3 linked regions of the Oryzias latipes genome follow. The protein of the gene in region 2 interacts with the protein of the main gene of each other region in a pairwise test. Links are inferred from orthologs where the notes say so. Each region holds a gene or a part of one and is shown on either strand. Other genes may lie near its edges. The genes, in order: gigyf1, grb10 and gigyf2.

What was found.
Region 1: the proteins of grb10 (region 2) and gigyf1 interact in a two-hybrid assay, tested with the Homo sapiens proteins (2 studies listed by BioGRID). The link is inferred for Oryzias latipes from reciprocal best matches to the Homo sapiens genes GRB10 and GIGYF1.
Region 3: the proteins of grb10 (region 2) and gigyf2 interact in a two-hybrid assay, tested with the Homo sapiens proteins (2 studies listed by BioGRID). The link is inferred for Oryzias latipes from reciprocal best matches to the Homo sapiens genes GRB10 and GIGYF2.

Annotation. Positions count from the first base shown.
Region 1 is NC_019876.2:6,264,245-6,267,898, reverse strand, and holds part of gigyf1 (GRB10-interacting GYF protein 1), read right to left. Parts: coding exon 3,553-3,654; intron 3,477-3,552; coding exon 3,285-3,476; intron 3,218-3,284; coding exon 3,009-3,217; intron 2,938-3,008; coding exon 2,780-2,937; intron 2,698-2,779; coding exon 2,531-2,697; intron 1,602-2,530; coding exon 1,557-1,601; intron 23-1,556; coding exon 1-22. UniProt on the Homo sapiens protein: May act cooperatively with GRB10 to regulate tyrosine kinase receptor signaling. May increase IGF1 receptor phosphorylation under IGF1 stimulation as well as phosphorylation of IRS1 and SHC1.
Region 2 is NC_019874.2:13,087,914-13,091,567, forward strand, and holds part of grb10 (growth factor receptor-bound protein 10), read left to right. Parts: intron 1-1,296; coding exon 1,297-1,594; intron 1,595-3,654.
Region 3 is NC_019875.2:25,019,675-25,023,328, forward strand, and holds part of gigyf2 (GRB10-interacting GYF protein 2), read right to left. Parts: intron 3,547-3,654; coding exon 3,402-3,546; intron 3,240-3,401; coding exon 2,979-3,239; intron 2,894-2,978; coding exon 2,724-2,893; intron 2,045-2,723; coding exon 1,888-2,044; intron 1,797-1,887; coding exon 1,630-1,796; intron 349-1,629; coding exon 254-348; intron 1-253. UniProt on the Homo sapiens protein: Key component of the 4EHP-GYF2 complex, a multiprotein complex that acts as a repressor of translation initiation. In the 4EHP-GYF2 complex, acts as a factor that bridges EIF4E2 to ZFP36/TTP, linking translation repression with mRNA decay.

The sequences.
Region 1 (3,654 bases), on a different chromosome or scaffold from region 2:
GGTTCATACCTCGCATCGAGTCCTACGGGGCAGAACACGCCGTCAGGGCAAGAAACAGTCTCGACAACATTTCATGGGCCGGTCTGAACTGGATTTTCTGTTTTGTTTCTGAAAATTTAGTTTAAAAAAATAAATACATATAAATAAAACGTTTGTACCCGTTTTTGTTTTTTTGACGAGGAATTAGTGAAGGAAGATTGGTGATTTGTAGAAGTAGTTTCTAATTTGCAAATACTTCAACATTTTTTAGATTAAATTCGTTTCTCACATGGAGAACTCAACCGTCCTTCAGAGCCAAAAGATTCTTCATATTTTGTTTTTGCATTGTTCCTGATTTATTGTGTATTTGTTGTCGTCACAGGAACATTTTCTGTTTTTAGGTTTCTTAACAGCTTCCTGCCTCGTTCACCATTAATCTCCCTTCTAGGGTTGTGCCGATGGACGATGGTGATGGGTGACTGACATCCCGATGGAGAGACACCATCGTGATGCCACGCCCCCGCCACGTTGCGAGTCGACACCATAATCCGCAGTTACATGTGCAAAATATCTTGATGGGATCAATGGTCGGATTAGAATCCAAACGTGTACATGGTTCCAGAAAAATGTTTTCAGAATATAACAAATGTTCACATGGGTCACACTTTCGGTCGGAATAAATCATTCGCACATGCGCAGTAGGGTTTGAAAAACCGGAAGCGGATATAATTTCCGCCGAGCGGCTATTTTTTTTTCAAACTTTATTGAATGTAACAATTCAATACAAAACAATGTTGCCGAGCTGCTATATATATTGACATGTCAGTGGCTGCGGGACGGATCGCAGTCTTAAATCTCCCACACATAGCGCTCATGTAACAAAGCACCCCCCCATCAAACACAAAGCTGTAAGTCCGCGCTCCGCCGGTCCACTTCACTAGTGAAGTGCGGGAGCGGACCACTTCTTGTCTATTTTGTTTGTTACTTTTTTTGTTAAAGTCACTTCCCTCAGTTTATATTGGATCATCGCGGATGAGTCATTAGTTGGGGAATAAAATAAAGTAATAAAGTAAAATAACGAATAGCAATTATGACAACGACAAATTTAACACACACACCCCCCCCACGATATCATCGTCCATCCCGATGGTTGACAGCAAACATCGTCAACGGCCAATTTAGGGGACATCGCCCGACCCTACTCCCTTCCACACGTTTCCTCAGATCACAAACATCTTCAGCAGGTCGGCAACTTTTTTTGGTCGAAACACACGGATTTTGCAGCTGAGCGCCTCTTGTGACCGACTTTTAAGGTGTGACAGATAAATAAAGCAAAATAAAACCAAAAAAAGAAAAAAACTATCCAAATACATTTTGTTTGCTTCTTAGCTTTGGGGTTTTAGATTTAGCGGTCTGGGCAACAGCTTCAAGTCACGTGTCGCGTCAAAACAGATGGATCGGGTGAAGAGAATCCGGTGGTTTTTCAAAATAAAACGTTCTTCAGTTTTAAAAAAAGAAACAAATAATCAAAGTACCGGTACCGGCCCGCGGACCACTGAACGTGTGTGGGAGTTCACCTGCAGAGGGAAGTTCATGTTCAGTCCTCCCACGTCCTTCGACAACTGGAAACCAAAGAGAAGAAAAGGAGCCGTTTAACACATTTTCTACATTATTTGCACTTTATTCTCCGTTTCTGAAAAGAAAAAAAAAGAGTTAAAAACCAGAATAAAGGCATTAAACTGTGAGCAAAAAACTGAAATAGTCGAGCTTTTTGAGAGAAAAATGTATCTTTAGACATGTTTCAACACATTTGTAAATTATGGGTTGAACTTTTCTCTGAAAATGTTACGACTTTAGTCGAATAAAATTGACTTTTTCATCATTTTACCACTTTCTTATAATTTTGACTTTAGTGTAATATTTTGACCAATTTTTCATGAATTTGCTGTTTGTCTCAGAATTTTTTACTGTTAAATTTGGACTTTTTTCAGAATTTCCCAATTCTTTTCAGATTTTATGACTGTTTTAAACAAAATTTTAATTTTTGATGATAATCTTACAACTATTGTAAATCTTGACCCATTTTCACTTTTTCTTTTGAATTTACAACTTTTACATCATTTCATGGCTATTCTCGCAAAAATTTTATTTATTTATATATATATATATATATATATATATATAAATAAAATTTTTAATTTTAATTTCTCTTTAATTTTACGACATTATTCTCAGAGTTTTACAACTATTCTTGTAAACATTAGACATTTTTAGTAGAATTTTTATGACTATTTTCATAATTTTATGACTTTTCCCTCATAATTTTCTGTTATTTAATGACTCTTCTTGTTAAATTTGGACTTTTTCATAATTTTTTTTTTTTAAATTTAACGAATTTATTCTCATAAAGTTTTGATTCATAATTTTTCCTGCTTTAATTTTAAGATTTTTCTAAAATATTCATCTGTGTATTCTTCTGATCTGCTTTCAGGAGGGCCGTGGCGTGTTCTCTGGACGCCCGGTCGTGTCTTGTGGCGGCGCCGACACCGACCTGCTGCTGCTGCTGCCTCTGTTGGTTGGCTTTCTGTTTGGCACGGCGCTCCAGAAACTGTTTGGCAAACTCTTTGGCTTCCACGGTGTCCCCAAGGTAAGACCGGATGAAATCCAGCACTGCATAGGGAGACTCCACCTCTTTCAGGTACGCCACGATGGTGGCGACTGTGCAAAGACACAGCAGAGGGCTGATTAGCCATGGGAAGACGGAGGGGGGTCACTTCCGGGCGGAAGCTGAGCGGCCTACCGTCCAGGGAGCAGGAGGAGTTGTTGGCGGAGCTGTTGAGAGCGTGCAGCATCTGCTCACACCAGGTGGTGAAGCCGTCCTGAGGCTTCATGCCCTGCAGCAGCTTCAGCAGCTTCTCCTCCTCCTCCGTCCTCTTCCGGCGCATCATGTACTGCTCGCTGAAGGAGACGCCACAGGTTACAACACCAAGCGACGGGATTCGAACCCGCCATTCCGGCCCGCCACCTACTTCAGGGAGGGGCTGCTGCGGCTGTTCTTCAGGCCCAGGTTGTTGCTGTTTCCGCGCAGACTGGCCTGGTTCTTCAAGGCCTCGTCCCACAAGCCCATGCTGCTCGACGAGCCGCCGCTGCCGCTTTTGGACTCCAGCGCCCCCCACATGCCCACGCCGTCTGCCCACTGCCCCCCCATGGAGGAGCTCCCCATGGACAGGCCCGAGTGCTGCGGGCAGAAAGGGGCGTGAGCGTGCGAGCGGCCCGCGGCAGCGTTTTTTTTCTCCGAGACTCACCCGCTCTCGCTGCTGCTGAACGCGCTGCTGCTTCAGGAGCCGCTCCGCCTCCTGCTGCATCTCCAGCAGGGCCAGCGCCGACGGCTTCCCGGGCTTCGACAGGCCGGACGAGCCCCCGCTCCAGTTGGAGCTTCCCGCCCCCGTCTGCTGGGGCGCCTGCTGCAGCAGCTTCATGATCAGCTCCTGCTGCCGCTGGACAGAGGAAACGCGCGTCAAACGGACCGCCTACTGGACACACAGATCAATAAACTCCCCAGCTTCGTCTCACCTTGCGCCGGAAGAGCTCCTCTTCCTCCCTTCGTTTCTGCTCCTCCTGTTGCCTCCTTTTCTCCTCCCTTCTCTTGCGCTGCTCCTCCTCCTCACGCTTTGC
Region 2 (3,654 bases):
AATTTTTTTTCTCATGTGCATATTTATTATATATATATATATATATATATATATATATATATATATATATATATATATATATATATATATATATATATATATATATATATATAATATGAATTTGTATATTTGTATATTTGTTTTTTTTGTTTTTGTTTTGAGGTTTTGTATAAACTTCTGGTGTTCGTGCTTCCAAGTTTCATCTGACGTCAAGGACATTCAGCAGCTTTAGAGTGACATGTCACTCACCAACTCACCACCCTGCATGATCTAGCTGTCCCGCAGCCAGACCTGTGGTATGCAACAGCAGCCATCTAGCCCTTGTCATGCTTCATCCGTCTTTAAAAATGGGAATTCTTTTGTTTGGCATGCAATTATGAAAGCTCAAATCCTTAAAACAGTCTGCTTTTGTTGTATTCTTTTTGCAGATTATAATCTGGTATTATATTTTCAACCTCTTTTGACTATCAGTTTGTAATGTGTGCAAATATGTGTAATAATTCACAGAATTGTCTTTTTTGACTTGTAGTTGTGGGTGCTATAGTCACTGAGAGCTTTGTCTCCCCCTAGTGGCGATAGCGCAACAGTATTGTGAATTATAAGCATTTGATGAAATTATGAGCCTTCTTTATTATAAATAATGAGACAAAGCCCCACTGCAAATTGTGATTCGACAGAAAATGGAGCCAAGTAAGACATGTTCTTTTTTTTTTTTCTGATAATGAAACTTTTATAGTCTCAAGCAATTAAGCAGGTTTCCCTTCAGCAGAGAATCTGCCTCCTGAATCTAAAAGTGCCACGGGGATTTTCAAGGGGCCTTTGAAGGAAGCCTCGTCCTCTGGAAAATGTCTTGCTTTTCGGAATATTAAGTTGAAAGTTTCCTGGTGAATTTCAAGCAGATGCTTCAGCTCCCCCGGTAAGAGTTGAAGAGTGTAGCGGGCAGGTTCGTGCGTGTACCTGATGCTTGTGAAGATTAGGTTTTACTGGGAAGTATGATGAATGTCATCAAGAAAGTCCTTCTGATTAGGCGTTCTGGCACTGGTTACTAAGTTATCAGTAAATGTGGTCATGTGCACGTGCAGACACATGCCTGCAGGTCTTATAGAGACCGTTAATGTGAAAAACCTCTTTATGCATGTACTTCCTGCTTTTGTCTTTGTTCACTTTAGGTTCTGTAAACCCTACAGAGCAAGTTAAATGGGGGCTTTAAAAAACTGTTTACTTCTTTTGATCAAGAGGCAGCTCTTTACTTCGCATAGCATAAATTTATACGTCCATGTAACCTTCATCTTTCAGAGGATGACGTGGACTTGGAGGCCCTGGTGAATGATATGAACTCCTCCCTGGAGAGCCTGTACTCCTCCTGCAGCGGTCCGCAGACAGAGTCGACTCCGCTCCTACATAATGGACAGTCCTCTTCCTCACACCACCATCATCACCATCATCATATCCAACACAACCAGGCACGGCAGCTTCAGCAGCCACAGGTGTTAAGCCACACTTCCCCAGAGTTGCCTTCCTCCTCCTCACTGTCAGCAGATCTGCCCAGGACCAGCCTCAGAAGGTCACAGCCCATGCACATCCTCGCTGTCAGGTTAGTGCAGAGCTCCGTACTGCTTTACTGTTTTCTCCAGGATTGATGGTTTCTCTCCTAATATCCACCTCATTTGCACGAAGAGAAAAATGCACACTTGTACAAAATGTTAGAAAACAAACCAATATAAAGATAAACAAGACTCATTTTAAGAACGTTAAGGCAAATTGCATAGCAAAGCAACGTCATTCCCACTCGTATGGAAGTTTTTTCCCCACCCATGATTTAAAGTAATATTCAATTCTCAATTAACAATTCAATTGACAATTTGAAAATGCATTTTGCCATTTAGAATTCAATCTAAAAATAAGTACAATTCAATATTAAAATTGTAAAATGACATTTTAAGTCAAAAAGCTAAATCTATTGAATTTAAATTGTCATGGGTTTTTGATGCCAATCAAATGTAAAAGTATTTTGCAATCTAAAATTCAACGTTGAATTTGGTCATGGCTTTTGAAAATGTAGTTTGCAATTTATAATTCAATGCAAAAAAAAAAGTCATTTTAATACCTTGTTTGCTTAAAATTCAGTTTAAGGTAAATTAAAAACTGTTTTTCTCCCATAAATTCAAATTTTGATAAAAATACACAGTCTTAAAGGGAAAGCCAAAAGCTGCAAATACAGTTGCTAAATATTTATGGTGCAAGTTTGTTTTTGTGCAAAAAAGCATGAAAAATATTAATCAGGGAGTGATTTATAGGATTTGGCACTTTTCTAATAATACTGTTTTCTAGATTACCCATTTTTAAATCAATCCCACGTATGAAGCAGGTCAAATTGTGCTTTGTTCTTGTGTCTTGTCACACCTGCCCGAATGGGTCAATTTGGCAAGCCGGGGCCCGTAGATGGACCCCAGGAAATATCCGTGTCGTAGGTAATTCACTCAGTCAGAGCCGAAATGTTAATCCAGATTTTTTTCCTTTGACATTTTGCGGGCAAACACTTCACATAAGGGTAAGTAAGGGTGAAGTACATGAAATGCAGGCGCGTCGTACGGATTTTTCATGTTTTCAAACTCCATGAATACAGACTGCGTAAAGAGCCCGTTAGTGCTGTTCAGGGAAAAGTGTGCCCTCAGTTTGCACAGCCTGACTTTTAGAATTTAAATTAGACAATCAGATGGTGGTTCGTGTGACCATCCTACGGACGTCCTACAGGCACTTACGTACACCTCCACGTCCTGTGTGTGCAGTCAATAAAGACCCTGTACTCGCACCTTGCTAATTGCTCGAGTGCTGCATAGGGGCTCTGTGCAACAACTACACTATAAATACTTTACCGTGCACATAAGGCCGTGTCGCACAGCTAGTACGTGCATCTTGAACATATTGCGCAAAGGGAAAATTGATCGCATGTAAATATACGTGGAAAAAGGGATAAAAGTTGTGGTCTTTACGTAAAATTTTCATGGATGCATTGCAAATGAACCACGTTAAAACTACAGAAGAAGTACGAATAATCCACGAAAAAGAACACGTAAACAGACGTAGAACATTGAACCGTGTGTGATTATTGTCCTGTTTATATGCAATTTATTAGTGATGTGTACATCAGTTACATATTTTGAACGTCACATATGCGCTGTATGCACAATATAAAAGTTATACATAGTGGTACATGCGTGAAAAGTCTGTTAGACATGCATGAAACGGTCGTGAAAAGCCAACGATTTGCATATGCATCTCACAAAAATCACACACAATTTCCTAAGGTTACGTAAAATTGGGTATAAAAGATGTGAAATACGCATGAACTGCGCAACTGACCAAAAATTTTGAACTGCTCAAAACCAAATTCACCTACAGACCCGTCTGCCAAAACCCTCGATGTACAGTTGCGCACATCAACGAATGACGAACGCAAGAAACGATTCTAAATGACGTATATCACGCATCTATCACGAAAGGCCAAAATTTTATACAAGAAAATGTGCAAAATGGACGTAGTGTATGTGTGACACAGCCTTCATCACCCACACGACGATGGTATGTTCCCTTTTATGACGTCCTTTAACCCTTGTGCTATCTTGTAAGGTCCAGATGACCCCACCCTTAAAT
Region 3 (3,654 bases), on a different chromosome or scaffold from region 2:
GTAATCGCTTTGGACAAAAATCCTCAGAAATATTCTGCATGTCTGCATTTTTTTTTTTTTATTGGAAATTTAGTTGAACAAACATCCTGTAAACAGGGGGTAAACAGCAAACCAGCTTATCTTTAGGGGGAAAACAAACAAACCCCAAAGCAAACATATAACTTTTCATGACACCTTTCCTTTATGCCGCTGATTTTTTTAAACTAACACAAAGGAGTGGTGGTCTGAAAACAGGTTTCAGATGAGAACTTACCTGAGGAGGTACTGATACTGTAGCTGCTGTAACTGATAAAGGTTGAGAGCAGTGAGCTCCTGCTGCCTCTTTAACCTTTCTTGGTCACCATCTGACTGCAAATGAGGAAAATAAGATACTTTATTGATATTGTCACAGGGATAACAACAATCAAAGAGTGCTCTTTGATCATTAATTCAAAACAAGACAGAGACAGAAGTCAGAACAGTCAAAGCAGCAAACAGAACAATGACTCAACTTTAACATAGAATACAAAACCCCCTAAAGTCCCCCTCCCATGAAAACCAAGTTTTTTAAGTTTTTGACATGTATGTGTGGCATTTGTCTTCTAAAAGAGAACAAATGTAATTAAAAAATCATTAATCAAGTATTTGGCCTTTTAAATTGCTGTCAAACTGTCGCAAAGACACTGGGTTTAAATTATGAGCTGTTGTGATGTCACAACGCCCCGTCCAGCGTGCACATCAGCTCAGGTGCAGCAAACCCCCATGCACTTTAAGTGCGTCCAAGGCTAGAATTTGTTGTTGTCTGGACACATTTAAAATGAAACTTCCCAAATGTGTTCTCTGCATTTGTGTTCTCTCTCTGACCAAGTTTGAACGCTTGCTGTCCGGCATTAAACGGAGAGGGTCAAAATAAAAACAAGAATAAAATTAGGGGTCTTTTTTATCATGGCCTTGATAAAAATAAGAAAAATATCATACATAAAAATAAAAAAAACACAAAAACAGTTTTTTTTGTAGCTGGATCACAATTTTAGAAGGTAGGTTTTGTAACAAAACCAAAGGTTGCTGCGACTAATATTGTTTTTCTATATTTGCTAGCTTGATTTGGTATTTCTGTTCATGTAAAGTGATGCAAAGGACATATAACTATACAACTAATCTACCTAGAAGGAAACAGTTTCTATTTCACAAAAAGGCTCACAAGCGCCACCTGGTGTTTCAAAACAAGCACATTCATGAATCTAGCTTTGAAGACCCACTCCAATGAAAAATCTGTTTTTTCTGTGTTTTTAACATGTTTTTGTAGCATTTTTCTCATGGTGGTGAACATATATAAAATAACTTAAGATCAAAACATCTTTTTTCAAATTGTGCTTATCAGCAGCAGATAAAAAACAGCCGTTTGTTTTTGTTTTTTTATTTAAAAAGATTTTGTAACAGTCATCAAAACCCCATCAGCTCCAGACAGGAGGCAGTTGATAAACCACTTCCAGTCACTAAAGCTCACAGTTTGTGGTAAAGTATAACTCCGTTTTTAACCGTCACTAAAACACACGCTGATTCTCCATCATCACCTTCCCTTTTAAAACATTGAACCAGTAAAATCAGATGACAGCAAACCACTGATCAATATTCTGCAGGGGTTCTTACTTGTAATGGTGGAGGGGAGGGCCCTGGAGTGAATGGTACCCTTCCCCAAATCTTCATGATTTCACCCAGAGGCTGAAACACTTCATCACAACCTCTTTTGACCAACAGAGACACGGTGAAGTAACCAGCCTGAAACCATTCAGACATCTCTTGATTGCTGAACGGACCTGAAGGAGCGAAAGAGCGTCAGGACCAAAACGTCAGACTGAAGCACAGGTTGACGTGAGATTTTTCAGCAGGTCATTTTCCGCATCTCACCCTGTATTTCCCCCTGTGGATCTTTGTAAAGCCATTTAAGAGCAGCTTCGTGGGTGAGAGGCAGGCCTGCAGGCTTGGGCTTCTCTGCTGTCTTTGCTGCAAGCCGGTCGTCATCCGCGCCGCTGTCATGCAAGTATGCAACCATCTTCTCTGCCTCCTAGTAAGAAATGTAGAAACACAGTTTTTAGCTGATTTACCAAATACATTCCAGATAACTACTTAGAAATAAACACACCTGATTTTACTTTTGTTTGATCATTTTACAGCAATTACAGAGAAAAAGAGGCTGTTTGACGGAATTCCCTTTAACATTGAGTTTAAGTATGAGAACTGGACTGAGTGACTTTGCCCTCCTGGTGTTCCAAACAGGCCTAAATCCCATAGACTTATATTGAGAAATAAACAGCTATTACCCAGGCATTCTGTTTGTCAGAATAACCGTTCTTGCTCTTTTCTTTTTTTTTAACATGTTCTTACTAATCCTAATTTGCTTTTTGCTCTTTTTTTCCTGTAGTGCAAGTTATTCAAGTTATAAACTGCCCGATCAGCTTTTTCAATAAAAGCATGTGGTCACACGTCAAATGTTTAAAACGTTTGTGTCGCTCTCTTTCAGGTGTTAAGGATGTGGGTTTCCAACAAGCTAACTCCTGATTAATGAGAATGGTTGCCATAGAAACGTTGACTTGGATCAATCAATGATTACTGGTGTGGTCTGGCTCCAACATGGCAGCATCCATGTCGCCCAAAAATGGCAAATGAAGTCTCCACAGGTGACATCACACTCACTCGGTCCAGTTCTCTAATAATGTCAATGGGTTTAAGCTGAAAGAATCTACCTGCTCAAAGTTTTTTAGTCCGTCTTCATCCGTGTCATGTGGTACAGAGGTGGGCCTGGCAATAGGTGCTATTACGTTTGAAGGGAAAGGTAAATGATTGTTGATGGTCACAGGAACTTCTATAGACTTCTTTTGTGGGAGTTTGGCGGCAGACGACGGAACAGGAGCTTCTGCAAAAACAAAATGAAATAAAATACCAAAATGTTCTATATTTTATTCAACAAAATGAAAGATAAAAGAGAAAAAAGGCCAAACCTGACATGCTTGTGGAAACATGAGTCATAGGACGGGACTCCAGCATGCTACTGATGATGGGGACTCTTAATGGAGCTTTGCAGGGCTCTGGGGGTATCGCTAGAGGCTGCTGCTGCTGCTGCTGCTCGGCTGGCCTCTCCATCTCCTCCGTTCTGTTGGGGTGGATTGAGGGAAAACACTGTGCAGGAGGGTGGGACTCTGCCACTGTCGTAGGAACAGGTGGAATGACAGGCGGAGCCTCCTCTGAAGCTTTGGCCAACTCTAAAAGCAAACCGTCGGGAAACAACATGAGATTTTTCAACCTTTTTTTTAAATCATAAAGAGCTTTTTTAAATAAAAGTACAACTTTTCGTCCAGCATAGGTGGAAACCAATCATGTTGTGTAAAAACAACTGACAAAAGCAAATATTCGGGGAGGCCGACCTTTCCTCTCAGCTTCTATTTTCGCCTCTTGTTCTGTCTCTTTGGTCTCGCTGAGCGGACTGTCCTCCTCCAAACTCTCCTCACACTCTTCTAAGGGCTTAAACTCCAGCTCTGCCTCCTCTGGGATGGGCTCCTTTGGAGCTTTCTGCAAGTAAGTGACAGACAAGCATTTATTTGAATACAATCAGAAATGGAACTTAATAGAACCAACACTACGGCCTCGTCAGAATTCCATACTAATAGGGCGTTTTTT